Linked DNA regions of Oryzias latipes. The protein of the gene in region 2 purifies or fractionates together with the protein of the main gene of each other region. This does not show direct contact. Links are inferred from orthologs where the notes say so. Each region holds a gene or a part of one and is shown on either strand. Other genes may lie near its edges.

Region 1 (4,172 bases), on a different chromosome or scaffold from region 2:
AACTCTGCTTGGATGAGTTGGCACTTTTTTCCAGACAGACTTCAGTGCGTCAGCCAGTGAATCTGTGACACAGATTATGGGTGGAGCGTGTTCAGTCGTTGGTTCAGAGAACAGTGTTGCTGCAAACGGTGCATTGTCAGTTCCATCAGACATTGCCAGTGTTTCTCCAGCAGGTGTGCTCCTCACAATTCTGTTCACTCTCTTTGAGGGGGAGCGGTGAAAACTTTCCACGTTCTCCCATTAGAACTATCAGGTTTCCTTCTTGAGTGGCTCCATCTGAAAGATTGCCAAATGAGGCATCACTGAACACCCTCATCTTGAGGGCTGAGTCCCTGCCTAGAAGCTCAAAGTTCAGAGCCACCTCACTGGATTTCAGTTTGCACACCGTTCTATTCGTTTCATGGATTTAAAGCATCAAACAAGACTTTTGGTCGACTCTGCCTTGCAACCCAGAGAATTTGTCCAATCTTGGGCGTGAGCAGATCTTTTTCTTTTGCTGACAGAGATGAGTCTTGCTGTACTCAGCAAGCACAGCATCCAAGAGACACTAAATCTATTCACACATAACAAAATGCTCATACTGCATCCGGAAGATCCCTCTTGTATGTACACATTTGAGTATACCGCTGTTCAAAATCAATTATCTAATCCGTCACGGATACATTACTGTCTCTCGTTATCCAAACTTGAGTAGGTCCGGTCTTTGTTCTTTGAGAAACCGATCATCTAGCTTTATTAGTGACGTGTCCTGTGTCCTTGAGCAAATCCTCCTTTGATATTTCTATCGCCACGTCTCTCGCTTGCCCAGAAGAAAGCGCCAAAGGAACGGAGAGTGCTTGCTTCTTCTTTTCAAGGTCTGTAACTCGGGTCCAACTTATTTTTTCCAACTTTTGTACGGTTTTCCTTCGTCAAAGGTTTGTAGGACTCTGTAGTTGCTAATCATCCCCTGCTACCAATGTTAAACAAAATTGAAATTCACTTCGCAGCGTAACGTTTTCTTTATTCATTCCACCATCATCAACACAACAACGACCCATCCCATCCAACCGGCCCTTTCACAATAAGAACATGATGTGCAATTACCATAAAACAAGAAATTTGTTATTTAACAGTTCCTGTCTTTATAGCTTAACAACTAGAATTTGGCAAAGAAGGACCAAAACCAGATTTTGATGAGCCCTTTTTCCACAACGGCATCGTGAGAGGGGCAAAATTGTAATTATTTTTCCCTTATTTGATTGTGGCAACAATTTAACTTTGTGGCTCCTTCTAACATCTGCTGTGTAATACACATATAGTACCGAAGTTGACCTGTTTATATGCTGTTGAAGTGAGCTTCTGTTACAGCTGTTATCTGGTAAGTCTTGAAGCTCTCAGCAACACATTGAGTCCTTCATTTCTAAATGAACCGAATCATGCTACCTTTTACCTGAACCAGGTGTGTTTATTCAATCAGAATGTGGAAGCACCTGACTGAGTTAACCAAGCAGGGATTAGAGATGTAGAAAACTGGGTTTTCTAGACGGGGTGGTAGGACGACCAGGAGTGAGCAGCACTGATCAAGACCCCTAGACTGTGACTGAACTCCTTCACTGCTCTCTACACAGTGCACTTTCTGTAGTGCTGGGCAAATCTACTATTCCAAAATCTGGAAGACTTCAATGCATTGCATTTGAACGACTTGTTATTTTTAATTAAAAAAAGTATTTACATTTATTTTTTTATAATTAATCCACAATTTCACCATCACAACACAGCAGATTCATAAACGGTCAGCCATTATCAGGTGTTGACGTTGGCAAATGGGTGATGTCATATTTGGCATTAATGTGTTTAAAGGGTCAGCTTGTGGTTCTTACTCAGCCTGTTCGTCCAGCTCCACGCCGATTCTTTCAGACATGTTCTTGAGAACGTTGATGGACCCAGACACCAGTTCCAGCTGTTCGTCCTGCTGCTCTGCGATCAGCTGAAACACACACACCAGCGTTTGGTCTGGGCTCAGCATCACCTCCATGCCCCCATCTGTTCTCGGTCCGTCTGTACCTGCTGCTGCACCTGTGCCTCCTCAATGAACTGACTGTTGGCGCTCTGCAGCTGATGGTCAAGACGGCGGTATTTGTCTGAACCGGGCTGCCATATGCGTCCTTGAGCTCCACGCTCACCGAGCAAAGCCTGAACACAAAAGAAAAGCATACAGTGGAGCAACAGAAGTGTTCAATCAGCCATTAAATGTGTGGGTTCAGAGGCCTGTAATTGCCTTCAAATGTAAACTTCAACTATGAGAGACAAAACAGGGGAGAGATATCAGGGATAAAGTCTGTAGTGAGGAGTTTTACTGCCTTCAAGCATCTGTGCTTATTGTAAAAAATAGATCCCCCACTTTGTGGATGACAACTATAGCAGGGGATTGTAACTCGCGCTATAAACGAGGGAGCGCTGTACTGGAGTTTAGGACAAAGTTTCATGATGTCATCCTCTGTCAAAGGTAGCATTTGTCTAACCAGGAGAGAGACTTGGTACCTGTTTGCTCTTCCCGTCCAAGGAAGCCGTTCCTGGAGACGACATCTGCTCCTTCATCTCCTAGAAAAGAAACGGCAGACTATGTCACGAAGTGAAGACGTCACATACATGGATTTATGGTTCATTACAGAAAACTTGGTCATGGCGTCTCACTCTTATAACAACAGCGATGAACCAGAACTAAAAAAATGTATTTTATGAAAAAAAAGTTGGATATAATTATATGGCACTCTGTGTAAACAGGTTTTTAAATTTTGATCAGAAATAAGAAGTTCTCTTTGTCCTCTCATGTCACTTAAGAATATCTTATAGTAAAGCTTGGATTCAAAGTGATGAAAGTTTTTGTTTGAAGTTTAAAAACCCTCAAAACTATTGACTGTTTAGGAGAACAGGAGTGAGAAGTGTGTCGTCATCTACAGAAAATGGGTTACTTCCTTCTGTTGACGTTTTTTCCCCAACACAAACGCCACCATGTTGGAACAGTATGCAGTGATTGGTCTGAGTCATCGTTTCTATGGTAACCACTCACACCAAACACTTAAACGTGAGCTACAGAAAATCTGTCAAACGTTCAACCTGGGGGCCAGCAGGCTCCTCCTACTTTTATTGAGGCATCTGATTGGTCCGTTTGTAACTTGAATAAGTTTAAATACAAAATACTAAATTTGGATTATCAAGAAGATGTTAAAAAAGGTATCAGATCCAGAATGGTTCTTCTGGCCAATAGGATGACTGAATAACAGCTGTTTAGTTCTCTATAGGCTCTATGGGACTTCCTGAAACCAGCGGGTACTTCCTGTTTGGAGCGCCAGGGGGGAGGAGTCCAAGACAACTGATCCGTGTTAAGAAAATAACTAATGGGGCATGTATGGTTAGATTTCTGATGTAAACTGTGCTATAGCACCCCCCCCCCCCCTCGTAAATCTGAAGCACTCCTGAAAAAGCTGCAGTTCCCCAGAACTAAATCAGCTTTCAGTTAAATATAGTGTTAAAATAAGACGTTAAAAATATATATTTACCGTCTTGTCTGAAAGATCTTTTGTGCTTTATTTTTTGTAAAATCACTGAAGTTGATTTTATGAAGGCCTTCCTTTCTGTATTGTTTTTTGTTTTTAGATGGACTCAACAAAACTCCCTCTTTACTCTGTCAGGCCCACCATTCAGACAGCTGTAACATGTTGTTTTGTTTAGAATAAGTATTCCTTGTTAGGGAATCGTGACACGTGACATTATCCCACTGATGTCTTTGCTGCTATTAAAAAACAAACCAAACCTTTCCAGACCAAATGTGTTCCTGTGGAGGGGATGCTTTCTAAAGGATAATCATTCATTATGTGTGCAAACAGCTGAACAGTAAAGATCATCTTTTTAGTTTAGGGGTCTGTTATGCTGCCCAGCGTCAGGCCACCATTCTCTCCAGATGTGATGAGTTCTACTTTTAAAATCTTTGAGGGCTGTACTTGGAGGAGCCATTGGTCTTCAACTATTTCAATGAACTACCAGACTGACCAAACCGAAGGGAACCAGACCACCGTGCTGCAGACGTTTGGGGTTCCTCCCAAAGCGAGTTCACATCTGAGGTGTGGCGGAGGCTTACCCTGACCATATGTCTGGTGCTGGTGATGAAGGCCTTCCTCTTTGACAGCTCCGCT
Region 2 (4,627 bases):
AGACTGCAACTCTTCGACTCTGCCATTCTTCATATCTGCTGCTACGCTAACAGGAAGTTGTTTTACACGTCATTGACGTATTTCCGGTCGAAAAATGCGGAAGTGTGAAAAAGGTCTATTACCACAGGCACCACTGTCACCTTCACTTTCCAGGCTTTCTCCAGTTCTTCTCTGAGTCTCTGGTATTTCTCCAGTTTCTCATGTTCCTTCTTCCTGATGTTCCCATCACTTGGCACTGCCACATCCACCACAACGGCTTTCCTCTGTTCTTTATCCACCACTACAATGTCTGGTTGGTTCGCCATTACCATCCTGTCAGTCAGTATCTGGAAGTCCCACAGGATCTTTGCCCTTTCATTCTCTATCACCTTCAGAGGTGTTTCTCTTTTTGACTTTGAGGTTTCCAGTTCATATTCTGCACACGTGTTTCTGTATATTATTCCAGCCACTTGATAATGGCACTCCATGTATGTTTTCCCTTGCAGCATCTTCAACCCCGCAGTTATGGTGTAAATGGCGTACACTTACAGTATATAGCGCTTTTCTACCTACAAGGCCCAAAGCGGTTTACAAACACAGACCCATTCACACACTGGTGGCGGCAGATTTATAACTGTAAACAATAAATCCTTGTTTATTTCTGAATAATGGTGTGTGTTTTGTCTATGACTTGATGCGTACTGATGGAATGCTGTTATCATACAATGGGTTTGTAACTAAATACAAAATTAAGGATTCTAGTAACTGTTATAGCAAAGTCTGTTAAGCAATTACCATACCTTTACTTAATCTTATTCATAACATATTACAATACAATGCAATCAAACCACAATTTCCAGAATTAATGGAAAAGTTAATGATATTCCCCTAAAAGATAAAAAAGGCAACAATAAACTCTAACCTTTAAACAAATAATTTTCTGCAACTTTAGCATAAACAATGAACGCGACTTAGAAACCACCCTAATGGACAAATCTTTTTCTTTATACACAAAGTACCCACTTCCACCTAAAATGAAAGAAACGCATTTTAAAATAATATCTAAAATTTACCCTGTTGGAGATTTTTTACATAAAAGATTCAAATTTCAATCAGAACCACGCATATTCTGTTCATCTGAAACTGAAACGTAGAACATCTCTTTTACAGTTGCAAAAATATTTTGGACTGATATTCACAGTTGGTTGTCACTCAAAGTTTTAAATATTCCCTTTTTTTCCTTATCTGATGTTCTTTTCTATATGAAAAATCTGGACCCGGGAATTTCTTTTTTTTCTATATGCGCATTTATAACGTTTGTTCACCCTTACTTGGTCTGTATGAGCATTTAAAAAAAACAAAACAACAAAAAACAACGTCATACCGAAATGTCACATACCAGGAAGTCGAATGCTCAGTTTTGATTGGTGGCTCACTGGACCCGGGCACGCTACAGCGTTTTGATTGGTGGTTTGGTTTCAAATGCGTGACCTGATTGGTTGTCAGAGGAAGTAGGGCTCGGTGATCTCAGCTGAATCCGGAACCAAGCCCTGATCGAAGGGCGAGAATTTGTTTCTTCAGCTGAATCATATGCAAGTATAAAATAAACGTCAGTTACCTTGTTTCGTAGTTTCAAATGTCGATTAAACGCTATTTTAAATATGCAACGCAACGATTTCATCGTTTATAATCTAACGCTTAGAAGTTAGCACGTTTAGCTAACACGTTAGCATCGTTCCGCTACGTGTTGTTGGGAATGTCACTCTGTGATGTAAAATTCCGTTAGCAGAACGTCGCTCTGGTAACATTGTTGTGGTTATACTATCAATATGTTAACGTTGCGGCTTCATGTTTGTCTATAAGTCAACATCTGCTGGTTAGTTAAATAAGCGTACGGGTCTTATGGTGTGCGTCATGTCAAAAAAAAAAAGCAGCGAAATCCTAACAGTTCTGTATATACTTTACTAGTCTGTATTATAATTTTGTGTGATGATTTTAATAAATGTCAGCTTTTTAGTCTGTGCGTTTTAGTAAGTTTTGAAGCGTGATTGCATTCTCCCTCCGACCTACATTTGGAGTTTTAGATTGAATTATTCATGTTAAATAACAGTTTGTGGCCTTTTTCAAATTTCCTTTTCTTTTTTTGCATGCACAGTTTTAGCTCAACATCAAAGCCAAGCCTTCCGCCTCAAACATGTCCTACGGTAAAGCGGAGTTCCGCCCTGTCCCGAGGGACTTTGGCTCCCTTATTCAGACATGCAGCTCCAACATCCAGAAGATCACACAGAACAGTGAGTCCTCCATTGCTGGGAGCTGAGACTCATTGTTAGTCACTGGCTCAGGAAGAAGTCATGTGAGAATGCTTACAAGAATCGTGATGATCTGCTGCTTAACTCAGGCCTGTTCAGGGGGGGAGATCCAGGTTAAGCAATCACATGGCTAATTCATCACAAGTGCTTCAGGAAAATACACTATTCTAAATGTTCAGGTTTGCTTCCTTTTTGAGATGTGTACAGTAAATAAGTGCTTACATTCTTTGGTACAAAACTCACAAATTAAGTTGCATTTTCTGCTGTCTATACAAGAATGGACACTAAACTATTTCTTAGCTCGTTTGCTTCTGCGGTTTGGATTGGTTTTTGTGTTTTTTTCTGTGTTGTTGTTTGATATCTGTGCACACAGATGATCCCTGAGTAAAGGTTTTGGAGATTAAGATTGTTTCTGTTTTCCTGACAGCCGCACAGATTAAGACCATGGTGAACCAGCAAGGGACAAGGCAAGACTCCAGTGAACTTCACGATCGTCTGTATGTCATCATTTCTTGTTTCATTTTTTTCTACCAGTTTTAATGAAAACACAGGCAGATGGAGGTTTTCTAGCTGGTTAACATCTGATGCAAATATCAGTGTTATCTTTGTTGGTAATAACCTCCTAATGAGGCTGAATATGAGACCAACACTGATGCAATTATTCAATAAGGCACCCTGACTTATGTTTAAGACAATATGAAAAAAAAAACTAACACAGCCAGTTTGCTTTACATGCATTTCTTGCACACACTGTTGTTAATCATATGTATTGAGAAGTAAAACCTTTAAAATTGTTATAATTCAGGCTTTTTGGTGACAAAATTTGGTTTCAGCTACAAAACCTACATCTACTGACCCAGGAGTCCTCCTGCTTTGCACATTTAAGTGATGCTGTGAGACCAGGAAGAGGTTAAATGACTGTTGCTGGTGGTTGTGGAGTAAACTTCAATAATCTCTTTTGTCTTCTGCGACTAAATGAATGTGTCACACTTTTTGATGGCGTGTTTTCACTTTGCAAAGAATTTTAAAATTTTGATTTATTTCAGAGCTGGTAGAAAAGCTCTATTATTTGATTTAAAAAAAAATACTAAGAAAATTAAAAATTTCAAGCTTTATTTGAATTGAATTGACAATAAAAGCAATTTACAGATGCATTAACAGTAGTGCATTACACATTGAGTGTGCTTTAGTGTGGAGCAGAATGGCTGGGACTGTAATAGCCTGAATCTGGGAAGCAGCTTCTTCTTGTGGCTGATGTTCAGTCCTGTTTTTATTGATGCACAGTTTTCTCTGCAGGCAGCAGATCCAGCACTACACTAACCAGCTTGCGAAGGAAACCAACAAACACCTTAAAGAACTAGGCTCTGTCCCTGCGCCTCTATCCCCCTCTGAACAGGTAAGTGGGAGTTTGTTGAAACGTCTGCATGAAGACCAAATCCTGAGTTTTTACCAAAACTGTCTCCCCTGACTGCAGTATTCCAAACACGGTGTGCAGCAGTACTTCAAAGTATTTTTGCAGCAGAAAGGTTTAACTGGAGGGAGATGGTTTGCTGTTGTGACCTCTGAAGTGATCAGATATTAGTAAAAGAAGGCGATTCTTGTAGTTGAGATTTGCTAATTTTTTGTTTTGTAAATTTTAAGCAGGAGATGAAAGCCGAGTTTATGTATAAACGATACAGAGGAAGCAGGGATTTTTCCTGAAAATCTTTAGGAAAAAATAGGAGTTAAGTTACAATGTTGCTGCTTGAATGTTGGAAAGTGATTGTCAGGATTGAACTTTAAAATCTTAACCGTTATCTAAATGCTTTTTTAAAAAGTGTCTCCTAATGTGCTTTGGGTGCTCTGCTCTGTCCAGAGGCAGCAGAAGATTCAGAGAGACCGGCTCATGAGTGATTTCTCTGCGGCGCTCAACAACTTCCAGGCGGTTCAGCGACACGCAGCCGAGAAAGAGCGGGAGTCCATAGCCAGAGCCAGAGCGGGATCCCGCCTCTCAGTGAGTGAGACTCAGGAATGGATTCACACAACACCAGGAAAAGTGTGGAAAACAACCACAATATTCCTTATTTTTCCTTTTACCTGTTAATCATCAGCATTTTTTCTCCTACTTAGGATTTTAATTGTCCTATTTTGAAAAGTCCCATAACTTATCTGATGATTCATCTAATCCAAATCCAGTTGTGTATTATTGTGACTATTTGAAGTCATGAAAGGTAGAAAAATCTTGTTTTATCAGAGCTGTAAAAATTTTAACATCCACAAATGAAATGAAAAGTTTAGACATGCTGTGATTTAGCAGTTTGGGGTGAAGACAATGGTTTTGTTTGTAGGAACAGTCTAAA
Region 3 (4,172 bases), on a different chromosome or scaffold from region 2:
GATTTGTTTTATACAGTTTGGTTTTATATTTAACTATCATCCTGTTTACATTGCCTGGATTTGGGAGCTACACGTTTTTCAACAGAAATGTTTATACTATTTTCTCTGGAGCTTTGAATTTTAAGTCATGTCATTCAAATAAATTTTCCATTAAAACGTCATTAAATTCAAATGTTTGTCCAATCCATTCACCTTGTTTTTTTTTCATCATCACCCATAGTCCCCTGCTCAGCAGTTGAGAGTTGGTCCTCTTTGTCTGCTTTATGGTAATCGATGGGATACTAATTAGTACCTGATGACCTCTGGCCTTCTTTCAGGCCTCAGCATATTGAGCTCGGTGCCACGGGAGGAGCCCCCAAACAAGACAGCAGCAACATGGAGGACATGAGTGTGGAACAGATGGCTCTGAGGGCCAACCAGCTGACGGATGAGGTGCTGACTCCTCACACTCCTGCTCCTGCTCCGTCCCTCTGTTTCTTCTGTTTCTCTCTGGCTACAGATTTCTGTATTTAATGAGCAGCCTGTGACAGCTGAGTCTGATTTTTCATTCAATCTTAATGTTTAGATGATGCATGAATGCAAAAAGCGGTTGGAAATCATTCCGTTTGGATTAGAAACGCCGTAAAATATCATTTTTATTGTTAAAAGCGACATTTTTTTCAATGTTTTTAGAAGTTTCTAATGTAACTGAGGGTAAACGGTTTAAACAAAGCGTTGCTCTCTGTCACCTTACACGATCTCTGTGGTCAGCCGTTGCATCCAACGGCCAAAGCTGCATAAAGAACAGGAGTTCAGGTCTCAAACTCCTGCAGTCCGTCTAAACGAGCTGCATCAAAGGCTTTTCTGGTGGGGGCGCCGAGACGTGACCTTCATCTCTGAAGCAAAACTCAGAGATTTTCTCCAAAAATGAATGTTTCAGCAGCTTAGAAGTGTGGAAGATAGACGAACCCCAAACTCTGACGCTCATTATTAACACATGATTATCTCATTAGTTCAGTCTGTTCAGCCTAATGGATGTCGTATTTAATAATGAACTCATTTATCTTCGATAAGGATAACTGGGAAAGACTTTTCCTATATGTTCAGGTTGGACAATAGTTTCTGTAATCCTGTTATCGGTGAGGGAGAATCGACATCTAAAATGTTTTAGCCTTTTAGAAAGAGCCTAAAAGAACCCGTGTTGAGACATCGCTTCCACTCAGCGTCTGATAAATGGATGGAGGTTACAGGACGCGTCGGAGGGATTCTTCCTGCTTCAGTCTGACGGCTCCCTCTGCGATCCGTCATCTTCCAGTAATTACTGAATCGGCACTCGAGGGCATCCCGCCGTCAGTCAGCTGTTGCTCTGCACCTTCATGCAGCTCACACTGGTTGATGTTTGTCTGCTTCCTGACTTAACCTGCACCTTTGCTTCTATCTCTTCCCTCTTTCTGCTGCCGCCTGGTTTATTCAGGAGATCATTCAGGGGACCTGGGAGGGCCCCTCTGCTAATTCCACTTACCGCTCGTGCTTTGGGTAAACACTCGGAGACGCTCTGACCATGGCTGACAGTTTATCAGGACAATCTCAGATAAATGGCAGCTGGAGCTCAAATGTAAAAAACCAAGTGGCCAACATTTTCTGTCTAGTTCTAAAGTTAAAACATGTGATTCATCCTGTTGAGCTGCAGCCATCATTTTCTTCTTTTCTTCTCTGACAGTCAACTAACATCTTTTTTTTTAACAAACTGTCGTTTTAAGCTGTGATTTGTCTGAGTTCAAGTAAAGGAGGTCACAGACTCTCGGTCGGAGTCGCAGCTTCGCTCTGCTTCCTAACAATAAGAGGCGCAGAAGGGCGGGGCCCACCTGACCTGACCGCATTCCTGCATGTGCGCTGCGGTCGTCAGGCTTTAGGCTGACAGTCAGAGATCCATGAACGTCTGCTCTGGAAAGACATTTCCATAAAACTCTGGTCTAATTCAAAACAATCAACCATTTGCTTAGTATTTTTCATCATTTATTCAGTTTGTTACTCATTTCTTCTTATGTCAAACGTGTCAAATAGGAGAAAAGCCTGAAGTAACAGGTCTTATTTATGCAAAAGTTGAACCATTTTTTACTTTAAATCTGTAAACATTTCTGAACAGGTTTTATTACAGGAAGTTGACTTTTATTCTCCGTTTTAAAGTAAAAAGAAAAGTAGGACTGAACTTTTATTTGTACTCTTAGATGCAGTTGCTGTTTTTTTCTTTATAAATAACTGAAGTTGACGAGGCCCAGTCTCATTTTTATTCATTTGTAAATGAAACGGATGAATTTCCTGAGACTCTCAGAGAAAATATTAAATTCTATTTTACAGTTCATGATTCAGTTCAATACCGTTTTTACTGTCAATTATTTGAAACCAATTTGATTTTGATTATAAAAGAAAACAAATTTCACAGAACTATTTATATAAATGAAATAAAAGAACAATTTTCATTAATGAAGTTGAGTTTTTACATTAAAAACTAAGTGATCGTTTATTTTTTGTACACACAATAAAAACAAAAGAACTTGTTTGAAATGAGGACATATTTTTGGATCTGATTACTTGACGTTGATTCTCTTTGTTGATATCATTTATTGTTTTCCCCCCTCTAGCTCTGATGTTGTTAAATAATTTTAAAACAGATATTTTTTGTTTACTTCAGGTTTTTTGTTCTTTAAAAATACTTTTAATATGTTGTATATTTTAGGAAACATATTTTTATAGATGAATAAATAAATGCTTATAATTTAATAAAACAAGTTCTGAATGTTCATAAACTGTCAAAATGCAAAAATCAACCTTTTCTTTTTTTAAACAGCATTTTGAATTGGGCTTTGTTCAAATTAAATGATACTTTGTACTAAATACTTTGTAAATACTTACTTACTTTGTAAATACTTTGTTTTGTTGTTCATTTCCTTTATTTTAACTCAATCTATTTAATCACCTCTTTACCTTCAAATAAAAATCAAATATCTCAGTAAATAAAGCAAAGAGTTAAAAGAATAACTACGTTTGAGTGTCTGTTTACATCCAGTCAGAAGCGTTTCAGCTTGGAAGGATTAGATGCGTTTTTGTTTTTGACAAAGACGACTGAGAGCTGCGGCTGGACTCCAGCTGCAGTTTATGTTTGATTCTTTTATGTAGCACAGAATCCCGTTTAGCTGGTGATCCTTTTTCTCTCTTTCAAACTGCTGCCATGTTTTCTCCTGCAGTCGCTGGAAAGCACCCGGAGGATGAGGCAGCTGGCGGAGGAGGTGAGGCTGCTGCTGCTGCTGCTTCTCTATGAGCAGAAGTCACTCATGGTGGACAAGTTGGCGTCTTTTGTTTCTCCTTTCATCAAATAAATATAGAGTTCAGTTTTATCCTCTCAACCTTTATGACACTTAAAGCGATGAACGTAATTGGAAAAATGTTATGCCTATTCATATTTGTTATTTCAAATTTCAAATCAAATGTCTTTACTCTAAATCATCTCTGAAGGATTGTTCATTTTTTATTTTATAGAGCCAAGAGACTGGGGGCAAAACTCTGGATATGCTTGATATGCAAGGAGGTAACGCAGCATAAACATTTGTTTATCATGTTGGAGAATAGAGACGGTCCTGAACAGAATCTTCCTCTTCTTCACTTCAAAGTTTTTGCTCTTTGATCCTGGAAGCAGATCTCAGGATTTCAGGGTCTGCTTCCTGACCATTTTGTTTAAAAAAATATATATATATTCACTAGAATTCAGAAACATACTTTACAACAAAAGTAGAAACGCTCATTGGTTCCTTTAGCTTTAGACGTGTTTCTGAACTGAATTTCTTTTAGCTTTTAGCTCTGATGACACAAAAACTGGATCCATTTTTGCTCTGCAAGCTGTTTCCAACAGCAGAGATGAAGATGTTGAAGTGTGTTTGTGATTCAGAGCAGCTCAAAAGAGTAGAGGAGGGCATGGAGCAGATCAACGAGGACATGAAGCAGGCCGAGAAAAACCTCAACGACCTGAACAAGTGCTGCGGCCTCTGCACCTGCCCCTGCGACAGGTACGCCGCTGCTGCTGCCGGCGCCGCCGCCGCCACTCAGAGTGCAGGAAGAGTCCTGTTGGATTGTTGGACTGCATTCATGCCAAATGTTGGAATCAGGAAGAATGCTGCACGCGTGCTCACATTGACATG
Region 4 (3,939 bases), on a different chromosome or scaffold from region 2:
CCTCATAAGATGTGTCTGAGATTATTCTCTGTAATATTTACAGAGATATTTTGCCACAAGCCACTTTGTAAAAAGATCTGTGGCTGTTAGAATGAACCTGCTGCTCCACACGAGTGAACCGTGTCTCTGAGCAGAGCAGCTGGAGTCTCGTAGCTTCGTGTTCGCAGGCTGGGAAGCTGCTTTGTTATAGTGTGCGGTCCGGAGAAGAGTTCAGAACGCAGTCTGTTCAGCTGCAATGCAGTTAATAATAATAATATTTAGGGCTACATGTCATGAGGAAAACTTAATATTGCGGTGACGATGTAACTTGGGGTGTAGGAAAACAACCAAAAACATCATTTCTATTTCACTGCAACAGTTTAAAAACTGCATTGCAAATGACCAACATCTACATAGGAGACGAACATCTAACACAAAAGGGCTCCATCCGATTGGTCAAAAACATAAAAGGGATTATTTTTGCTTCGTTAAATACTGCCATCAGATTGTTTTAGCATACTTAAGGTAACCATTTATTGCGATCTTCGCCGTCTTTTGCAATATGCATATTGCACAGCTTGATATTGCGATAACGATAAATTTGCGATATATTGTGCAGGCCTAATCATAATATTACCAAAAGCACGTTTAGAAGATAATCTTTCTCTGTGTCGGAGCTCTGTATGTTTACAACGGACCGCATAATATCTTCTTCTATGTTAGTATCGTAATTTATCCAGACCAATCACTATCTGATATTGCGATGACGATATAACTTGTGGTGTATGAACAAAGAGCAAAACAACCTAAAACATCATTTCTATTTCACTGCAACAGTTTAAAAACTGCACGTGATCGGACCAACAGACATCCAATCACATAATGTGACGTCAGCACTCTTCGAAGGACCCCGAACGGTTATTGCAGGCCGAATGGTTATGGTACCTACACCCCACAGGAACACTGAAAATCTGCACTCATTTTTCCTTTAAAAACAAAAAAAAACTTTTTACTCCTTCGACCATATCACTTCGATATTTGGTGGAAAATAAAGGACAATGTTTTTTTTAACACTAACACTGGAAAACCCTTGCTAATAATACATTAGAGGTTCAGATATTTGTCTGTCCTCAAATACCAAACATCCCTAAAACAGCACTTCCATGAAAATTCTTAATAAAGACAGATAATTGTATCTCTATGCTGCACAGGTCAGGAAAATGTTCAGATATAATTCAAATGATACAGATTCAAATGCAGCAGACAAAGGTTGACTTTAAAACGTACTTAAAATGCCAGAGTGGTCATGTGACCATCTGCTGATCTTTTTGTACATGCCACGATTGTAGAGAAGGAAGTTGAAACCCATTTGTCAATATGTTGACTATACAAAGCTGAAATTGACATGAAAAGGGTTTTTTTTAAAGAAAAAGGACGTTTTTAACTACTCTGGGGGAAAAACGAAACTAAAACCAAAAGAAATAGGAAAAAAAATAGAAGAAGTTTGCTTTTCTGGTTATGACTAAAGCAAAAGTCTTTTTCTTCTTCTAAAAAAAGTCATATGGCATTCTAAGGAAATCTGTCACGCTCAACCCACCATCTGAGCCGCCAGCGTTGAGGAGAATTCACTGTTCATGGCGTAGGGAAGGGCGGTTTGAGCTCTGGAGCCATACGTCGTCTGGAAGCGCTTCTTGACTTCGCCAAGAAAGGTAAATGCACGAGATCTTTCAAAGTCCTTTAACAGAAAACATTCAATCACGATAAATGCAACTACACGTATTTAAAGCTTTGTGCCAGTGTCACATCCTTCCCAACTATTGCTGAACATCAAAACAAAATAAAAAGTCCAAAGATACTCACATCATCAGTGATGCACAAGTATATGATTCTGTCATGGCAGATGTAATGAAAGAGGTAACTGAAAACAAAATAGAAACACCATCAGTTACACGTTCCCAGAAACTAGCCCTGATTGTGGGCAAAATAATGACAATTATTGAGATGAAGGAGCAAACTGGACCGTACCTGCCGTGGCTGTAGGTCAGTTTGTTATTCTCTGAGGGGATTTTGGCTAAAATTTGTTCTGTGACTTCCAGGAAGTTGCCCCCGCACCAAGCATGTTTGGCCAAAATCGTGGTTCCACGAGCCACCACAGCAAACAGGATTGCCATGGTAACACAGCTGGGTTCTCCGCTACGTTAGTTTTCTGTCAAATAAACAAGGAAAGGAATAAGCTTTTTGTTGTTGTTGTTTTTTGGTAGGTGGAGCTCAGGTAAAACAAAAATGCCCCCACCCGCCTTCCCTCCCTCCCACCGGAATTCCGTTAAGATGAGTTAGAAAGAAAAGGAAAAAAATTGTGTATTGTAGACAAAAAAATACTAAAAACGATTACACCCAACATCCCTATGCGTGTTATTGTGGTATAAATCATTGGGAAAAACAAAGACTGATTCGGCAGCAAGCTAGCGTAGTAAGTAATGTTGAAATAAACACGGAACAGTGGTGGCGTCAACGAAAAGACCAAAATGTTAATCAAAGTGTCAGTTCAAGTTTTTGTTTGTAAGTTAAACGTTGTTGCAAAAAAACAAAACAAAACGATACCTTAACGTGTCAGCGCCACTCAAACGAGCTAATTATTTTCCCACATTTATAATGTGTCAGCTGCTAGCAAGCTAGCTAATCCCTTTCGAGTGACTTCTGCTTTGCGGATCCTTTGGACCGGAAGCACACACTGACCAACGCTGGGTAATGTAGTTCTTTTTTGCAATTTCTTTCACAGTGAATGCTGCTCTTCTACCATTCTGAACTACACTTCCCTAAACTACAAATGACGATGTGTCTTCGTCATATGTTTTCATGCGTAAGAGCAACTGTTTAGGAATTCCCCTCAGTTTAGCCTTAAAGGCTACGATTACACGCTAAATTGAATGCATTTGCAAATTAAATGTTAAGGAATGTTACTTTTTAGCGCAGTGAAAGGTAGTACTTCATCACCAACCTAATTTAAGTTCGATCCGTTTATCTTTTCTTAATTGCATGTTTTGTATGTCTATGTTTAACAAAATTTATTTGTGTCATCACTTCAAATCGACATATCTCTTTATGGCAGACTAAATAAAACATTTATTCTTAGGGTTGTAGTCGGAATAAATGTCCAACCAAGCGGGTTCAGTTATTAATGAATAATAACAGCATGGCGACACTTTCATTTTCAGCCTGTAAGTCAAAAATAAAGGGGAAGAAACACAAAGCTCATACTTTGCAGTGCGAGCGACGTGAAAAGCATGGCCGGGGATGGCGAGAAGAAACCCAAACTGGAAATGGTAAAATAAGAAAATGTCGTTTTGTTTGATCAGTTATTTAGATACTTAACTGTATATTGGTTAAAGTTTGTGTAGGTGAAATATATAATAACACATCGAAGAAGCTAATGCTAGCTTTCTCCACCGCCCGGCTGCAGACTTCACGTGGAAGATGAAGTGTCTGTTCATAAGAAAATCCCTTTTACTCGTATATAAACATTTTTTGTTAATTTATATTACTTAAAAAGAAACCAAAATCATGTTTTATTTGATAAAACTGAGCTTATATTTTAGTGTGTTACTACATGTCATTGTTTACTTGGTCAAAATCCTGCGATGTCTTTTATCCCCACTAGGGGGCAGTATTTTAAAACAAGCAGTGTTTACTTAAGATTTGTGAACTAAAATGTACTTAAACGTTAAAAATATATATATTATAGTCCCACAAGTCCCTACTAAACAACTGATTTTTGTTTTTTGTAATTTATATTAAAATAAAAAAGTTAAACGTCCATAGTCTCAAAGATCACTAAAACAGAGAAACAATATTCATGGAGTACAAATTAATGTATGTAAACACTGTTGTAGGAGGAATATGGCTCTCAATTGTATTTTTTTCAGCAACAAACCCACTAAAATGTTTCAAGATTCACTTATA
Region 5 (4,172 bases), on a different chromosome or scaffold from region 2:
AGACACAGTCAGACGGACTGAGGTCTGAATCGTCCTCCGGAGCGTTGTACATTACAAAGCACCCTTCACTTCCCTTCACAAAAACAGGAAGAGTCCGGCTGCACTGATCAGACATGCTTTGCTCGCGAAGAGCATTTAGCCACACCGAGTGAGCACTGACGTCATCGCCCCGCCCCCCCCTAGAAATGCTGACTGGTATTGACTTATGCTACACTTTTTGCGGGGTGGATGTGAAAATGAAAATATAATCCCCTCTTTGCATTTTCGTTTTAATTATGAAACAAAATAAGCGTTTTTTAAGTAGATAAGGAAAAAGCAATTTGAAGAATTGATTTTTCATTTTAATTTTGAGTCATTTGATGCAGCTACATTTTGAAAATGGAAAAGCATTTCCGTTAATGCATTTTAATTGTCAAATTAGACATTTCTAAATGAATTTTGCTACACATTTACCAGAGAACTTTTTGAAAATTAAATGTCAAACACCATTTTCTTTATCGTTTTAATTAAGTGACAGAATAATCAATGTTGAAGAAGAAAATGAAAAAGCATTTAGGTGGATTGCTTTTTCATTTTAATTTTGAGTCAAAAAATGCAGCTTCATTTTGAAAATGAAAAAGCATTTCTGGTTTTGACTTTTATTTTTAATTATGCTCCAGAAAAACTTCCATACATAAAAAAGTGAGCATGGTGTCCAAATTGCTTTTAAAATTCAGGTCACAACATCTAGTTTTTTAGTAGTTAGGGGTTAGGGTGGGAATTTGGACACAACCTAACAGATGTAGGTTATAAAGTGAGGGCAGCATCAAGAAGCTGCAGGGGAGGAGCAGCTTTTTCTCTGTTGGAAAGACACCTAACATGGAAACTTTGACAGGAAAAGCAGCAGCTTCAAAGTTTTCTGGCACTGATGCAGATGGCAGCTCATAGCTGCTGTTCACGTAGGAAAGAAAACAGTCACACGGCTCAAAATGACACCAAATAGAGAAACTGTTCTCATTTGTGAACGTTTCTCATCTGAAAATCAAAGGCAGACTGGGAAAAAGGATGGATCATAATTAGGATGGAACTGTAGAAAATGTATAAACCTTGTAATATCGTAATAAGACGTCCTATAGAACAAAAAAAGACAATATCTTCATGCTTATTTAAGAAAAATGTATCATCAAAACTTACATCATTATCCATATACTTCAGCAATGGAGAGTTGCACACGCGATAAACTTGGTCTTCATCCTGCTCATCAAAGCCTTGTAGCAGTGTCTCCATGGCAACGCAGTCTTCACTTCCACTATAGCCAGGCAGACTGGGGGATATTAAAGCAGGAGTCCAGTTAAGTTTCAACAGGATCACACACGAACGTGAAGAAAAGTCAACATGAACCAGACGTCCATGAACGTCTGGAGTCGTACCTGTAACTTTCTCTGACGCATTTATCTGCTGCCACATAGTCCCCTCTGTGAAGGTGAACCAGCACTTGAGCCGTGGTTTTCTACAGAGGGGGGGAAACACAGGTTCAGCAGGTACGCCTCGTTTTTTTCTTTAGATTCATCTCTGCACTGGTCTGTGATCAGGATCGCATGATTCTGAAATTGTTATACGTGTTTTCTGAAAGCATAGAATGTTTATCAAAATCAGGACTTGCTTCAACCAGTAGTTTTGAAGCTCTGATGTTTAACCCTTTTGCTATCTTGTGGGGTCCAGATGACCCCACTGGGGTCATCTGGACCCCACAAGATAGCACAAGGGTTAAGACGGATCTGATTTAGACATTTCAATGCTGACTGACCAGCTGACGTAGAACAATGCGATGTGTTGCTCCCTGCTTTCAAAAACTCGCTAATAATTTGATAACACATTCCAATCCTTTCTTGAGCTAAATCCTTGAATCTCAGTTGTGAATGTATTGCGAGACATTTCTGAGACAACAATAGCCAAGAGAAGAGGGAAGGAAATAGCAAAACAAGGAGTTGCTGCACCTTGAAACACATCGGGAAGTTCTCAATCTCTTTGTACATGTTCTTCTCCTTCTGCAGAGCGGTTGCAGCCTCGTCCAGCCTGGTTTACCAGACAAAACCAAAGCACAAGCAGACCAGGGTTATTCTGCAATGATTATTTACAAGAAGGAAGAAAAAGCCAAAATCTCCTTGGCTCTGGTTTGTTTGACCTTTTTAACCGAACCAGAAGTCTGGAGGCTTTCCCCAGCAGCTCCACAGCCTGACGCAGGCGGTCCTCATTCTGGACACAAAACAAGCAGGTATGAGGATGCAAAACATAATCAGAGAGCTGATGCAGTTCTTGAGCTGTTCTTACCTCGAACACTCCAGCTGCTTTTTGGTACAGGTCAACAGCTTTCTCCAGGTTAATAGGCTCAATCAGTCTGAAAGGGAAGACTAATTTTAAGTTCCAAAGTCAACTGAGGGTTCCTTTTTTCACTAAAGTCTGACGAGCAACAGTTTGGTTATTTCCACGTTAACAATAACTAAACTTCTGCTGAGTATTCAAGCATTCCACTCATGCCAACAAAAAAAAGGTTTCTTTTTTACTTTCCAGCGCGGTCCAGAGCCATGGCAGCAGTATCGGGAGTCCCGTTCTCCATGTACATCATGCATGCCTTCTCTATGTACTGAATGGCTTCCGGCATCTTCTTTTGTTCCTGTTGCAGCAGAAATGAGGGGGAATTACAACGGGACAGCGAACGCACCGCGGGGTTGTTAAGGCTTTCCCAGCATTCACTCACCTTCAGCATCATGCCTGCTTGTTCAATAGCTCTGGAAAAAGAGGAGCACTTAAAATAAACATTGAAGTTTTCCTTTTATGTATATATCAGTGACGTGCAGTCAGGAGAGGCAGGTGAGGCACAGCCTCACCTGTCATTATGGGAAGAAAAGAGAAAAAATAAATTCAATTATTATATTTAATCAGTAAGTTGTGCTTTGCGGTCATTTTCCATTTAAATGTACCATTTTTGGGTGTTTTTTCTTTTCAAAATCGCTGAATTCCCGCATTTGCCGTTCAGATACTAAGTGACCTGCGATGAGGCACCAGCCCGCTGAGCCTCACCTTGGATTGCGCAATACCTATGCAGTCAGACGGTACTGCTGTCTCTCTGTATGTCGGTTCAATCACTTGTACTATATGAGCTGAGTTTAAATAATTTAGCAGATGTATATGATGCACAGTGCTTGTTTTTATAAATAACTGTATGTGAGGGACGTGTTTCTTGTGCTGAGCGCTAAACGACGGCGAAAAAGCCGCTGGGTGAGGCCAGACATTCTCGTGCCTCATGTTGCAGTTCTCGTGCCTCATGTTAGGGGGCGCCGGTGAGCCCTGAGATTATGACGCTAAAAATACTAGAAGAAGTGATAGCAAGCGGCAAGTCATTTTCTTCAGAAGGAGCGGCGTATGGACTTTATTTACAACTAAAGGTAAGACGATAATAACGTTTGTGCTTTTTTCTATGCTGCAGTTTGTATATGAAAAAAAAACATGTTGAAATTATATTTTAAACAAAACGTTAACTGTTGTCAATCAAATGGTGAATAAGTTACTCAGTTATTTATACTCATGGTTCATATGTTTGTAAATCTGACTGATGACGTCAGTGCCTCACCAGCCATTAACCTCACCGCACGTCACTGGTATATATGTGTGTGTGTGTTCAATGTCAGAGGAGGGATATGAAAAAAAACAAATACTCACTTTGCAGCATGAAAAAGCCTGAATTGGAAGTTAAGGAAACACCACCTCCCCACATACGTGTCTTTGTTTTATGCAGAAACTAAATAATCTGTGGTACATCTGTAAATATTAAAATGAAAAAAAACAAGTCTTTTTACATAACAAAAGTTTCTGGGTGTGTATTTCTCAATATGTGTAATAGTTATCTGAAACTGAATATGTGCTCCTCTGAGAGGGAACAGGGTTGCACTGGGTTGGTATTAGGGCATGACGACTATTCCAGGATTTATCTTTTTTTTTCCCTTTTAAAATGTCCTAAAGCAAATAATATCATATCATATATAGCAATGATTGTGATTATTGAACTTGTGTTTTTTTAGTCCATAAACGTCTTTATGCAGCTCAGTGGACTTGTGGTAGAGTGTCCACCCTGTAACTGGAAGGTCATGAGTTTAAATCCAGGCTGAGACATACCCAAGACCCTAAAAATGGGA
Region 6 (4,573 bases), on a different chromosome or scaffold from region 2:
AAATTAAAATCCCGCTCCAGCTATACTTTTATTTATTGTAAACGATTAGGAGTTCATCAGAAACTTGCCTTTGAGGTGACTTAAGCCAGCTCAGACGTGGAGAATGAAGACGTTTACGGATCTATTTGACTGCAAGTGAATGCATCAGAACAGAGCGAAGCAGGGACTTTGTGCTCATTTAAGTTGCTGCGTCACATCAGTGGCTTGTTATCTCCTAAGAAATACTCATAAACGCAGTTTTAATCCAAAAGGATTTTTTATGCGTCCTCCATCATGTGAAAATGCGACTACGACATGTTAAATATTGATAATAATTCCATTAAACTGAATTTGGGTTACATTCATTTATTCCAGCAGACACAGTATTTGCAAAGCTTGTCTTAAAACACGGCACTTTTCACAGAAATGTAAAGTTTTCTCTCAAACAAACTGGTCAAATACATTTTTTAGTGTTTAATATGAGGGATTGACATAATATGGGCTTGTGTGTGTAAAATAAACAAAAGAATTTATTTGCAAAACGTATAAAACTCAGTTTATCCAGAGAATTGAGCTCTTCTACACTTCAAAATGATTTGCTCTGCCTTAAAAAAATACGTTTGGGTGGCATTAACCGGGCATTTGGGTGGCATTCTTCCGCACGTGTGCCGCATGAGTCACAATTATATCTAAAAAATACTTAGAATCTCATTTGCGTCACTGCGCAGGTCTTGCCACCACAGACTGTGTCTGTAACTACTCTCCCAGTTGTGAGGTTCTAGCTGGAAAGGTGCAGTAAAGTCTGACCAAATAACTCACCCTGTCGCTTTTCCTCTCTTAAAACCAGATTGGTCGCTGGTTTGTGGTCTCACCAAATAACATTTTAAACATACGGCATCAAAAAAAAAGGAAAATCAAATTGTGGGTTTGGAAAAAACAGAGTTTGGGCGAACCAAAGAGATTATTTACAATAACAACCAAGGACACTTTCATTTGTTACCTGATGCTGCTGTACATTGTGGACCCATCGAGAACTGTCTTACCTGCTTGAGTTCTTGGGCCTCAGCCTGACTCACAGATGGCTGGAGAACATGCACCTGCAATTGGGACAGCTCTCCTGCTGGGACCTCCACTGGGACCTCAGTCTCTTGGCACCTCTGCAGAAAAACTGACTCCATGGGTGGAGGTGATGAAGAAAATGCAGAGTGCATGTGTTGTTTGTGAGGAAACCAGACATTCAACTCAACAAGTGAGGCAATTGGGCTGAAGTGAATCATCTAAACACGTTTAAAGAAAAACACTAACAAAGATGACGAAATGTTTTTACATGTGGCAGCACCTTTGCAGTTTAAAAAAAAAGAAAAAAAAAGAAAAGATCTCTGCTGCCACCTAGTGGTCAAGATATCCACAGCTTTAGACTTTAGAATAAAAAAATAAAAAATCTCTGCTGCCACCTAGTGGTCAAAATATCCACAGCTTTAGACTTTACGATAAAAAAGTGCCTTACCGTCATTCAAGCTTGTCCCTTCTTTATCGCATGGAGATGACAGAGGAGTTGCTTTGAATGATGTGTATTCTTTTGTGAATTCAACCTTTTTCTTGTACTGCATCTCCAACACGGACATTGCTTCTGGCATTTTAGCAGAAAGGAACCGGTGACATATATCTGGTTTTCCGATGAACCGTTGTCGAACAGTAATCTCATATGGACTGTACACCTTGATTTCATCAACTTCGTTCCGTTCATATCGGTGAAGGAGGTGGCAGTTGGTGTCCCGTACCTCCATGGAGGACACCAGCACCAGCAAACATCCAGGTTTGAAGTCCGAATCTCCGCCTCTGGACACCACTGCCGGGATGCTCGCGATCACCTTGTTCTTGGTCGACGTCCCGCTTGAGGACGCCACAGCTGCTGCTCTTGCAGCATCTTCAGCCTTGGCCTCCTGTGCGGCCTTCCAGGGAAGCTTTCCGAAAGGCCACCACGAGGGCACCTCGAGTTGTGAGAGGAGTCTGAAAGACAAGTCACGTTATATTCAAAGAAAACAAAACGTGCTTGCAAAAATAAATAAATAAATCACTTCACAAGGGAAGAAAACAAATCAATAAAACAGATGTTTTGAATTAATTACTTATCAGCCACTCCTAAGTCCGAGTCAATCTTCTCCAGCCCCTGCATCATGCTGTCAAACTGCTCTCCCTGATGGCTGAGGACTTGACCCGTGTCCTCCAGTCTTCTTTGAGCCCCGGCCATCAGACTGATGAGCTCTCTGCCTTTAGTGGGATGGGGTTCAGCCCCTTGGCTCTCAGAGCCAGGCGACAGCAGGCGCTCCCTCCAGAAATGCACCAACACGTTATAGACTACAACCCTGTTGGGCTGTAGGGAACCAAACCAGTGCTTGGTGTTGCCTTCCTCCAGCACTGTAAGGGTGCTGAAGATGAAGCTGGAAGATTCCATCTTGATTTCCGTGATCCGGGACAGACGGAAACTAGCCAGATTCTCCCCGTTCTGGCTGGAGACGAAGCGCACCGTGGTTCTGGTGAGGGACAGGGTGCCGGTCTCCCACCTCTTCTCACTGTTGATGTAGTAGGAGCCAGGCCAGTTGTGGATGGGGAAATCTCGACTCATTTTAGTACAAAATTAAACTAAAAAAGAAAAAAAAATCCCAAATAAATTTACGACGTATGATAATCTAGTCAATCCACTTCAGTGGTTGGAGTGTAAACATCCTTCTTTCCGTGTGTAATCCCGTCAGAAGAGGACCTCAGATAACGCCTTAACTTAGTCGTCACGCACAGGGAAATAAACTATTCGAAAACAGCAATGTTTCAATGTTTTTTCATTTGCTAAATGTAAACCTTTTTACAAAATATCAACCGTAAACACTGGATGGGAACATGTGTTTTATTTCCTGCCCAGATCCTATTTGCTACGGAAGTGACGTCACGATCTAGCACGGCTGTGTTTATTGTCCGACTAGAAAATTGAACTCGCGCACGACAAGGCTATGGACACAATAATTGCTCAAAACAGGGCGCTAATTTGCGGTAAATGAACAGATGTTTGCGTCATAAGCATGACGGAAATGAAATAATCGATCTATTAGTGACGCAAGGAAACGCGGTAATTTTATGGCGACTTGTAATAATGGAAGACACGAGTGGAATAGCGTTTAGTAAAACCATTGATTATTTATTTTTTAGGTTTCACTTCACTGTGATTACATATTAGATTTCAAAACATATATTATATTTACTGATGACAACCCAGTCTTGATGCTTTATCTCAGTTCCATGCTCTAACATGCCAGCCGGGCTTGCTAACTAGCTAGCCGAGCTTTTGTTTACCATCATGGACAGAGAGGCGTACCGTTACTGCAGCAGCCTGGTCAGCATCCCCCGGCAGTCCTATGAGCAGTTCTGGTCCTCACACTTCGTAGACTACATCGATAAGGACATCAACTATTCGAAATTTTTAAAGAAATATTTACTGCCCAACCGGCCCTGCGTGTTTTCGAGAAAGTTCACAGACAACTGGAAGTGCAGACAGCAGTGGGTAACAGAGGAGGGGAAGCCGAGTTTTCAAAAATTGCTCCAAGACTTTGGTAAATTAATTAAGACTGTTGTTGTGATGACGTCATGAATATATAGTGTATGTCAGCTAATGCCTGTCTGTTTTGAAATATCAGATGAAACTCTAGTTCCTGTTGCAAACTGTAATGCAAAGGAATACAATGCAAACCCCAAACAAGTGATGCAGTTTAAAGAGTTTATACACTATTGGAAGGAATACGTCCAGAACGGTCACTCATCCCGGAAAGGATGTCTTTATCTGAAAGACTGGCACATGGCAAGGTATCCTGTGTCTCAGTTTTACATTGAGAATTGCTGATGTATGTGATTCTATACAAACGATCTGCATTAATCATTAAAAATGTCCAACAGAGACTTTCCTGAACATGGTGTTTATTCAACACCAGTATTCTTCTCCTCTGACTGGCTTAATGAATACTGGGATACACTTGAAGTAGATGACTATCGGTTCGTCTATATGGGCCCTAAAGGGTCGTGGTAGGAAGAAATCCAACAAAGTCTCAGTAGAATTTGCGTCAGTCAGGCGTGTTTTTCTTACGTTGAGTTTTGTTTTCACCAGGACCCCGTTCCACGCCGATGTGTTCCGCTCCTACAGCTGGTCTGCAAACATCTGCGGCAGAAAGAAGTGGCTCCTGTATCCTCCGGGTCAGGAGGACTTTTTACGAGACACGCACGGCAACTTACCCTATGACGTTACATCGGCTGAGCTCCGTGACAGCGGTCTTTTCCCGCGCTTTGAAGAAGCCTGCCAGCCTCTTGAAATCATTCAGGAGGCTGGGGAAATCATGTTTGTGCCAAGTGGCTGGCACCATCAAGTTTATAATCTGGTGAGGACTGTCAAATATATCAAACATTTTAAAATTTGAAATATTGTATTAAAGAGGGTTTATTTTTTGTGCATTCCTAAACAAGACAAGCCGTTATTTATCTCACGATGGGGACATTCTTTTGTCTGCAGCAGCAAACAAGACAACAAAATAACAAAAGTGACAATCAAATTAAT
Region 7 (4,790 bases), on a different chromosome or scaffold from region 2:
AGACTTTTTTGTCAAACATTTTGGTTGTTTTACTGATAACAGCTTTTAAAAATTATTTCTTGATGTGGCCCACTGTTGAACCACTTTTTTTTTTAAACAGAAGAGAAATAACTTGAAACTGTTGCTTTAAGGGTTCCTCTGAAATTATCAGATAGGAGAAATAGAGTTTCAATGTTTGGAGAATTTTAATCTGAGGTCATGAGTGTTTAAGAAACCAGCACATCAGTCATGAATTGAGCATTGCTGCAAGAACTATCTCTTCAGGAAATAATTTAGTGAAAGATTAGGTTTTTACAGTTTAATTGTACTTAAAATATTTACATTGGTTAAGTGATTTGTAGAAATACAGCATTTTAAAGAACGTTTAGTGTAAAGCAAACACCTCCACAAGCAAAGAGATCTTTTGGGAGGATATTCTTTTTAATACTTGGTTGTTCAGATACAAACAATAATCAGTGTAAAGGGTATTATTCTTTTAAGTAACAAAAAAGCTCCACAAACACGGGAGAGCTCTTAAAACCAGACAAGATTTGATAATGATATGGGATTATTTCATGACAAAATATACTGGTTTATCTAAAAGATACAGTCGTCAAACAAATAAAATGTAAACACAAAAATAAAGGAAAAGACACAAGAGGAATAGAACTCAATCAAACTGTCGTCACAAAATTTGTTTCAAAAACATCTTAAGAACTGGTTCAAGACGCTCCCACAAATAATGCCTGTTTACCTTCTTCAATCAAACCATGCCATCATAAATGTCAACAAGTTAGAAACAATGTTTTTATGATTGTATAGTGCTTGTGATTGTCTCTCCTGGTTTTAAATTATCATTGTATTGTTACCACTTAAGATGTTTATCAATTCCTACTGTTCTATTATATTTGTATTTAGTTTTTACATATTGTTTATACTGCTCTTTTTTATTTATTTATATTGCATTTTTACTCTTTTGCAAGCTTGTTATATACTATAATTCTACTTTTTGTTCATGTTGTATTTTTGCTGGAAATTTCACATAGTTTTAAGGAAGACAAGGTTGGTACCAGTCCAAGGACTACTGATGAATAATAGCTTTATGATGTTTTTTAATGCACAATATCCCTGTTAAATAAACAGATAAACGAACAATTATTTAAATAATATGTCCCTCATATTTGTTTTTTCTAAACAAGCAACAGTTTAAAAAACGCTCCGTTTCATCTTTTATAGAAAAAATAATAATAATAATAATTATTGAGGTCATCATCCAAAGTTAATATTAACTTACAAAAAAAGTTGTATTTTAGTTAAATCTCCTTCCAGAGAATTTCTACTGCTGAAATTAAATTAAATTTGAATGTCAGTCACCGTTCCCCAACTCTGTTCATGAATATGTCAAACAAGTCTGACTTTCATCAAACCTTATCCTAATTATTATGCTCCTATATTTATGCTTTTTATAGTAGACATCGGTGATGTTATATTATTAAAAATAAAAAATGGTACATTAAAAAACCAAACAAACAAACAAAGAGAGCAAGATATTGTGTTGTTGTCACTCCAAACTAGCAGTAATCCGCATATTATGAATGTATGTGATATTGATATTGCGTTGTTAAACTATATAATATGGGCAGCTAACTAGAAGAAGCGAGGCCGACTTCAGACAGACAGACCGGTTCAACAGAAACATAAACTTGACCGTACTTAACAGATAGTCCTTCATTATATATTTTGAAATTTTAAATAAGTTCTTAACCACCTAAAAAAAACGATGAAAGTTTTCCCAAAAATTGACTTTTAAGTAGCAACAGCGCGCGACTGCTAACGCTAGCTTAGCTTTCATTACCTTCAGAAGAGAAAAAACGAGCTAACCTATTTAGCACTTGTTGCATGCTAGGAGCAAAGTTTAGGGCGTTCTCTTTTCGGCGTTTCATAAACGGTAACACGACACACATTAGGTTGAAAATATTTCAAAAGCTACGAAAACAGGTTTATAGACTTACATGATGAAGATTATTGTGTTTTAACGACACCGCCGCTGTTTCTCGATAGTTATTTCTCCGCCGTAACAGCTAGTGCTGTCGTTTGAAATGCTGCCTTCAGGGTCGTCGGAAACGGGAAATACCAAACAGTGAGAATTATTGTTCAAGATTGACTAATTTCAAGAAACTCCGTTTCAAATGGTTGTATGGTTACAAAAACTGAGATGTGGTAAAGATAAAAAATAATTCATAACATAAAAACGTTATTGGGCTTGTTCAAACAGACACTTTTGCAGAGAAATATAATTATTTGATCAACCATTCTTCTTTCTACCCCTAACAGATGTAAAGTAGTAATTGTTTACTGGATTTAAAAATAATAAAAATAAAACATTTAATTCAGTGTAGTATAGACAGTCTTAAAAATTACATTTTGAAGTACGGAACACCCTCCCCCCTCACCCCAAGATCAGATTTCAAGAACTCAAAAGGTCCAGTATCCTTGTTTAGACAAAATCTCAATACTCAATAAAAAATTAAATCTCTGTGTTCCTGTTTGTTATCATAGAGTGTAATGTGTGGAGAAAGCAACGACAAGCTCATGATCAGCATGTGACAGGAAAACACACAAAAATTCCTTTAGCTGCCTGTAGTTGTTCACAAAGCAATTTTATTTTATAAAATGCTCAGAGAAATAGAATAGTCATTAAAGAAGACAGACGCAGAAACTAAATGGATCACTTGTGAATTGAATAACAGATATTAAGAAAAAACATCACAAGTTTGAATAAAAGAAGTTTAATAAGTTCTTAACCACCTAAAAAAACGATGAAAGTTTTCCCAAAAATTGACTTTTAAGTAGCAACAGCGCGCGACTGCTAACGCTAGCTTAGCTTTCATTACTTTCAGAAGAGAAAAAACGAGCTAACCTATTTAGCACTTGTTGCATGCTAGGAGCAAAGTTTAGGGCGTTCTCTTTTCGGCGTTTCATAAACGGTAACACGACACACATTAGGTTGAAAATATTTCAAAAGCTACGAAAACAGGTTTATAGACTTACATGATGAAGATTATTGTGTTTTAACGACACCGCCGCTGTTTCTCGATAGTTATTTCTCCGCCGTAACAGCTAGTGCTGTCGTTTGAAATGCTGCCTTCAGGGTCGTCGGAAACGGGAAATACCAAACAGTGAGAATTATTGTTCAAGATTGACTAATTTCAAGAAACTCCGTTTCAAATGGTTGTATGGTTACAAAAACTGAGATGTGGTAAAGATAAAAAATAATTCATAACATAAAAACGTTATTGGGCTTGTTCAAACAGACACTTTTGCAGAGAAATATAATTATTTGATCAACCATTCTTCTTTCTACCCCTAACAGATGTAAAGTAGTAATTGTTTACTGGATTTAAAAATAATAAAAATAAAACATTTAATTCAGTGTAGTATAGACAGTCTTAAAAATTACATTTTGAAGTACGGAACACCCTCCCCCCTCACCCCAAGATCAGATTTCAAGAACTCAAAAGGTCCAGTATCCTTGTTTAGACAAAATCTCAATACTCAATAAAAAATTAAATCTCTGTGTTCCTGTTTGTTATCATAGAGTGTAATGTGTGGAGAAAGCAACGACAAGCTCATGATCAGCATGTGACAGGAAAACACACAAAAATTCCTTTAGCTGCCTGTAGTTGTTCACAAAGCAATTTTATTTTATAAAATGCTCAGAGAAATAGAATAGTCATTAAAGAAGACAGACGCAGAAACTAAATGGATCACTTGTGAATTGAATAACAGATATTAAGAAAAAACATCACAAGTTTGAATAAAAGAAGTTCGAGATAACTTGTGTTTGAATCAGTTTCAGGTACACACAATAACAATGGACATGGATCATGTCTCTCTAGATTAAGAAAAAAATTTAAAAAACTAAAATCTATTTTAGTTAGAAAAAATAATAGTCTATTTTCAGGTATTCTGAAAAAAGGCGTTATATTTTCAGACTAAATGCAGACATCTCCAGCTCTCATTGCACACACTAATTCTTGCAATCAGGTTTCTTAATGTTTTTGCTTCAAAATAACATTTCATACATTGATCATTTCATACATATATATATATATATATATATATATATATATATATATATATATATATATACATACAATTTTTTTTTACTTGTTGAAAGATCTACTTTGATTTATCAAGAGTACATGCTAGCTGCAATAATTTGCAAGGTTGTGGTTTGTCTATTTGCTGTTTCTCAACTGAGGTGGTTTGCGTTTTGGCTCCGTTCCAGATCCTTCAAAAACCTCAGCTTCCTTTGCAGCTTCAGTTGGTTTCTGGGGGGGAAGTTTTTTTTTAAATCAATGCAGAGGTTTTAGTTTTATTTTAAACACAAATGTTTATCCATATTTTAAAGGTTAAAAAAATAGAGTTAGAAGTTACAGTGATTGTTTCTTTGGTGGCAGCAGCTCCATTGTGCAGCATGCTCTGACTCTCCTCCTGTTAACGCACAGAAAGTTTTATTTCAGTGACTTATGAACAGACTTGAAATAAACAACAAAGCACTTACTTATATATGTGGTAACATGTTTGGATAAATGGGTAATCAAGCTTTCTCTGTTGGCCATGCGATATGTGGAGCAGGCACATGAAGTAAGATAAAGTCGGCGTTAATGGCTTTGCAGGCCTGGTGTGTAGGATCACTGGCAAATGCCCCACTGACATGCTTGACTAAGTTACACCTTATCCCCATTGAAGACAGAGGTGCCTCTCTTTGTACAGTCATCAGGCGCCTCTCTGCCCTTGAGTTCACT

The links.
Region 1: the proteins of stx12 (region 2) and syntaxin-6 purify together in Homo sapiens (affinity purification with mass spectrometry; 4 studies listed by BioGRID and IntAct, counting the BioPlex papers as one, with this or other methods). This does not show direct contact. The link is inferred for Oryzias latipes from reciprocal best matches to the Homo sapiens genes STX12 and STX6.
Region 3: the proteins of stx12 (region 2) and snap23 purify together in Homo sapiens (affinity purification with mass spectrometry; 3 studies listed by BioGRID and IntAct, counting the BioPlex papers as one, with this or other methods). This does not show direct contact. The link is inferred for Oryzias latipes from reciprocal best matches to the Homo sapiens genes STX12 and SNAP23.
Region 4: the proteins of stx12 (region 2) and vamp7 purify together in Homo sapiens (affinity purification with mass spectrometry; 3 studies listed by BioGRID and IntAct, counting the BioPlex papers as one, with this or other methods). This does not show direct contact. The link is inferred for Oryzias latipes from reciprocal best matches to the Homo sapiens genes STX12 and VAMP7.
Region 5: the proteins of stx12 (region 2) and napg purify together in Homo sapiens (affinity purification with mass spectrometry; 3 studies listed by BioGRID and IntAct, counting the BioPlex papers as one, with this or other methods). This does not show direct contact. The link is inferred for Oryzias latipes from reciprocal best matches to the Homo sapiens genes STX12 and NAPG.
Region 6: the proteins of stx12 (region 2) and snap47 purify together in Homo sapiens (co-immunoprecipitation; 3 studies listed by BioGRID and IntAct, counting the BioPlex papers as one, with this or other methods). This does not show direct contact. The link is inferred for Oryzias latipes from reciprocal best matches to the Homo sapiens genes STX12 and SNAP47.
Region 7: the proteins of stx12 (region 2) and vamp3 purify together in Homo sapiens (affinity purification with mass spectrometry; 3 studies listed by BioGRID and IntAct, counting the BioPlex papers as one, with this or other methods). This does not show direct contact. The link is inferred for Oryzias latipes from reciprocal best matches to the Homo sapiens genes STX12 and VAMP3.

Annotation. Positions count from the first base shown.
Region 1 is NC_019862.2:1,649,696-1,653,867, reverse strand, and holds part of syntaxin-6, read right to left. Parts: coding exon 4,118-4,172; intron 2,581-4,117; coding exon 2,521-2,580; intron 2,173-2,520; coding exon 2,044-2,172; intron 1,967-2,043; coding exon 1,860-1,966; intron 1,854-1,859; exon of another isoform or gene 1-1,853. UniProt on the Homo sapiens protein: SNARE promoting movement of transport vesicles to target membranes. Targets endosomes to the trans-Golgi network, and may therefore function in retrograde trafficking.
Region 2 is NC_019869.2:17,750,497-17,755,123, reverse strand, and holds the start of stx12 (syntaxin-12), read left to right. Parts: upstream 1-1,455; 5' UTR 1,456-1,571; exon of another isoform or gene 1,572-1,588; intron 1,589-2,134; 5' UTR 2,135-2,173; coding exon 2,174-2,270; intron 2,271-2,715; coding exon 2,716-2,785; intron 2,786-3,584; coding exon 3,585-3,684; intron 3,685-4,143; coding exon 4,144-4,281; intron 4,282-4,627. UniProt on the Homo sapiens protein: SNARE promoting fusion of transport vesicles with target membranes. Together with SNARE STX6, promotes movement of vesicles from endosomes to the cell membrane, and may therefore function in the endocytic recycling pathway.
Region 3 is NC_019880.2:4,943,282-4,947,453, reverse strand, and holds part of snap23 (synaptosomal-associated protein 23), read left to right. Parts: intron 1-317; coding exon 318-432; intron 433-3,224; coding exon 3,225-3,266; intron 3,267-3,516; coding exon 3,517-3,565; intron 3,566-3,922; coding exon 3,923-4,040; intron 4,041-4,172. UniProt on the Homo sapiens protein: Essential component of the high affinity receptor for the general membrane fusion machinery and an important regulator of transport vesicle docking and fusion.
Region 4 is NC_019868.2:26,863,141-26,867,079, forward strand, and holds the start of vamp7 (vesicle-associated membrane protein 7), read right to left. Parts: upstream 2,801-3,939; 5' UTR 2,581-2,800; intron 2,186-2,580; 5' UTR 2,151-2,185; coding exon 2,005-2,150; intron 1,898-2,004; coding exon 1,840-1,897; intron 1,715-1,839; coding exon 1,577-1,714; intron 1-1,576. Other genes in the region: DNA-directed RNA polymerases I and III subunit RPAC2, read left to right, coding at 3,264-3,302. UniProt on the Homo sapiens protein: Involved in the targeting and/or fusion of transport vesicles to their target membrane during transport of proteins from the early endosome to the lysosome. Required for heterotypic fusion of late endosomes with lysosomes and homotypic lysosomal fusion.
Region 5 is NC_019875.2:4,618,038-4,622,209, forward strand, and holds part of napg (gamma-soluble NSF attachment protein), read right to left. Parts: intron 3,718-4,172; coding exon 3,700-3,717; intron 2,769-3,699; coding exon 2,738-2,768; intron 2,654-2,737; coding exon 2,544-2,653; intron 2,378-2,543; coding exon 2,311-2,377; intron 2,236-2,310; coding exon 2,165-2,235; intron 2,056-2,164; coding exon 1,977-2,055; intron 1,490-1,976; coding exon 1,410-1,489; intron 1,304-1,409; coding exon 1,174-1,303; intron 1-1,173. UniProt on the Homo sapiens protein: Required for vesicular transport between the endoplasmic reticulum and the Golgi apparatus.
Region 6 is NC_019875.2:28,044,611-28,049,183, forward strand, and holds the start of snap47 (synaptosomal-associated protein 47), read right to left. Parts: upstream 2,957-4,573; intron 2,623-2,956; 5' UTR 2,606-2,622; coding exon 2,109-2,605; intron 1,990-2,108; coding exon 1,487-1,989; intron 1,148-1,486; coding exon 1,023-1,147; intron 1-1,022. Other genes in the region: jmjd4 (jmjC domain-containing protein 4), read left to right, coding at 3,329-3,581, 3,666-3,831, 3,922-4,047, 4,130-4,397. UniProt on the Homo sapiens protein: Plays a role in intracellular membrane fusion.
Region 7 is NC_019863.2:28,591,229-28,596,018, reverse strand, and holds the start of vamp3 (vesicle-associated membrane protein 3), read right to left. Parts: upstream 3,141-4,790; 5' UTR 3,033-3,140; coding exon 3,031-3,032; intron 2,121-3,030; exon of another isoform or gene 1,994-2,120; coding exon of another isoform or gene 1,992-1,993; intron 1-1,991. UniProt on the Homo sapiens protein: SNARE involved in vesicular transport from the late endosomes to the trans-Golgi network.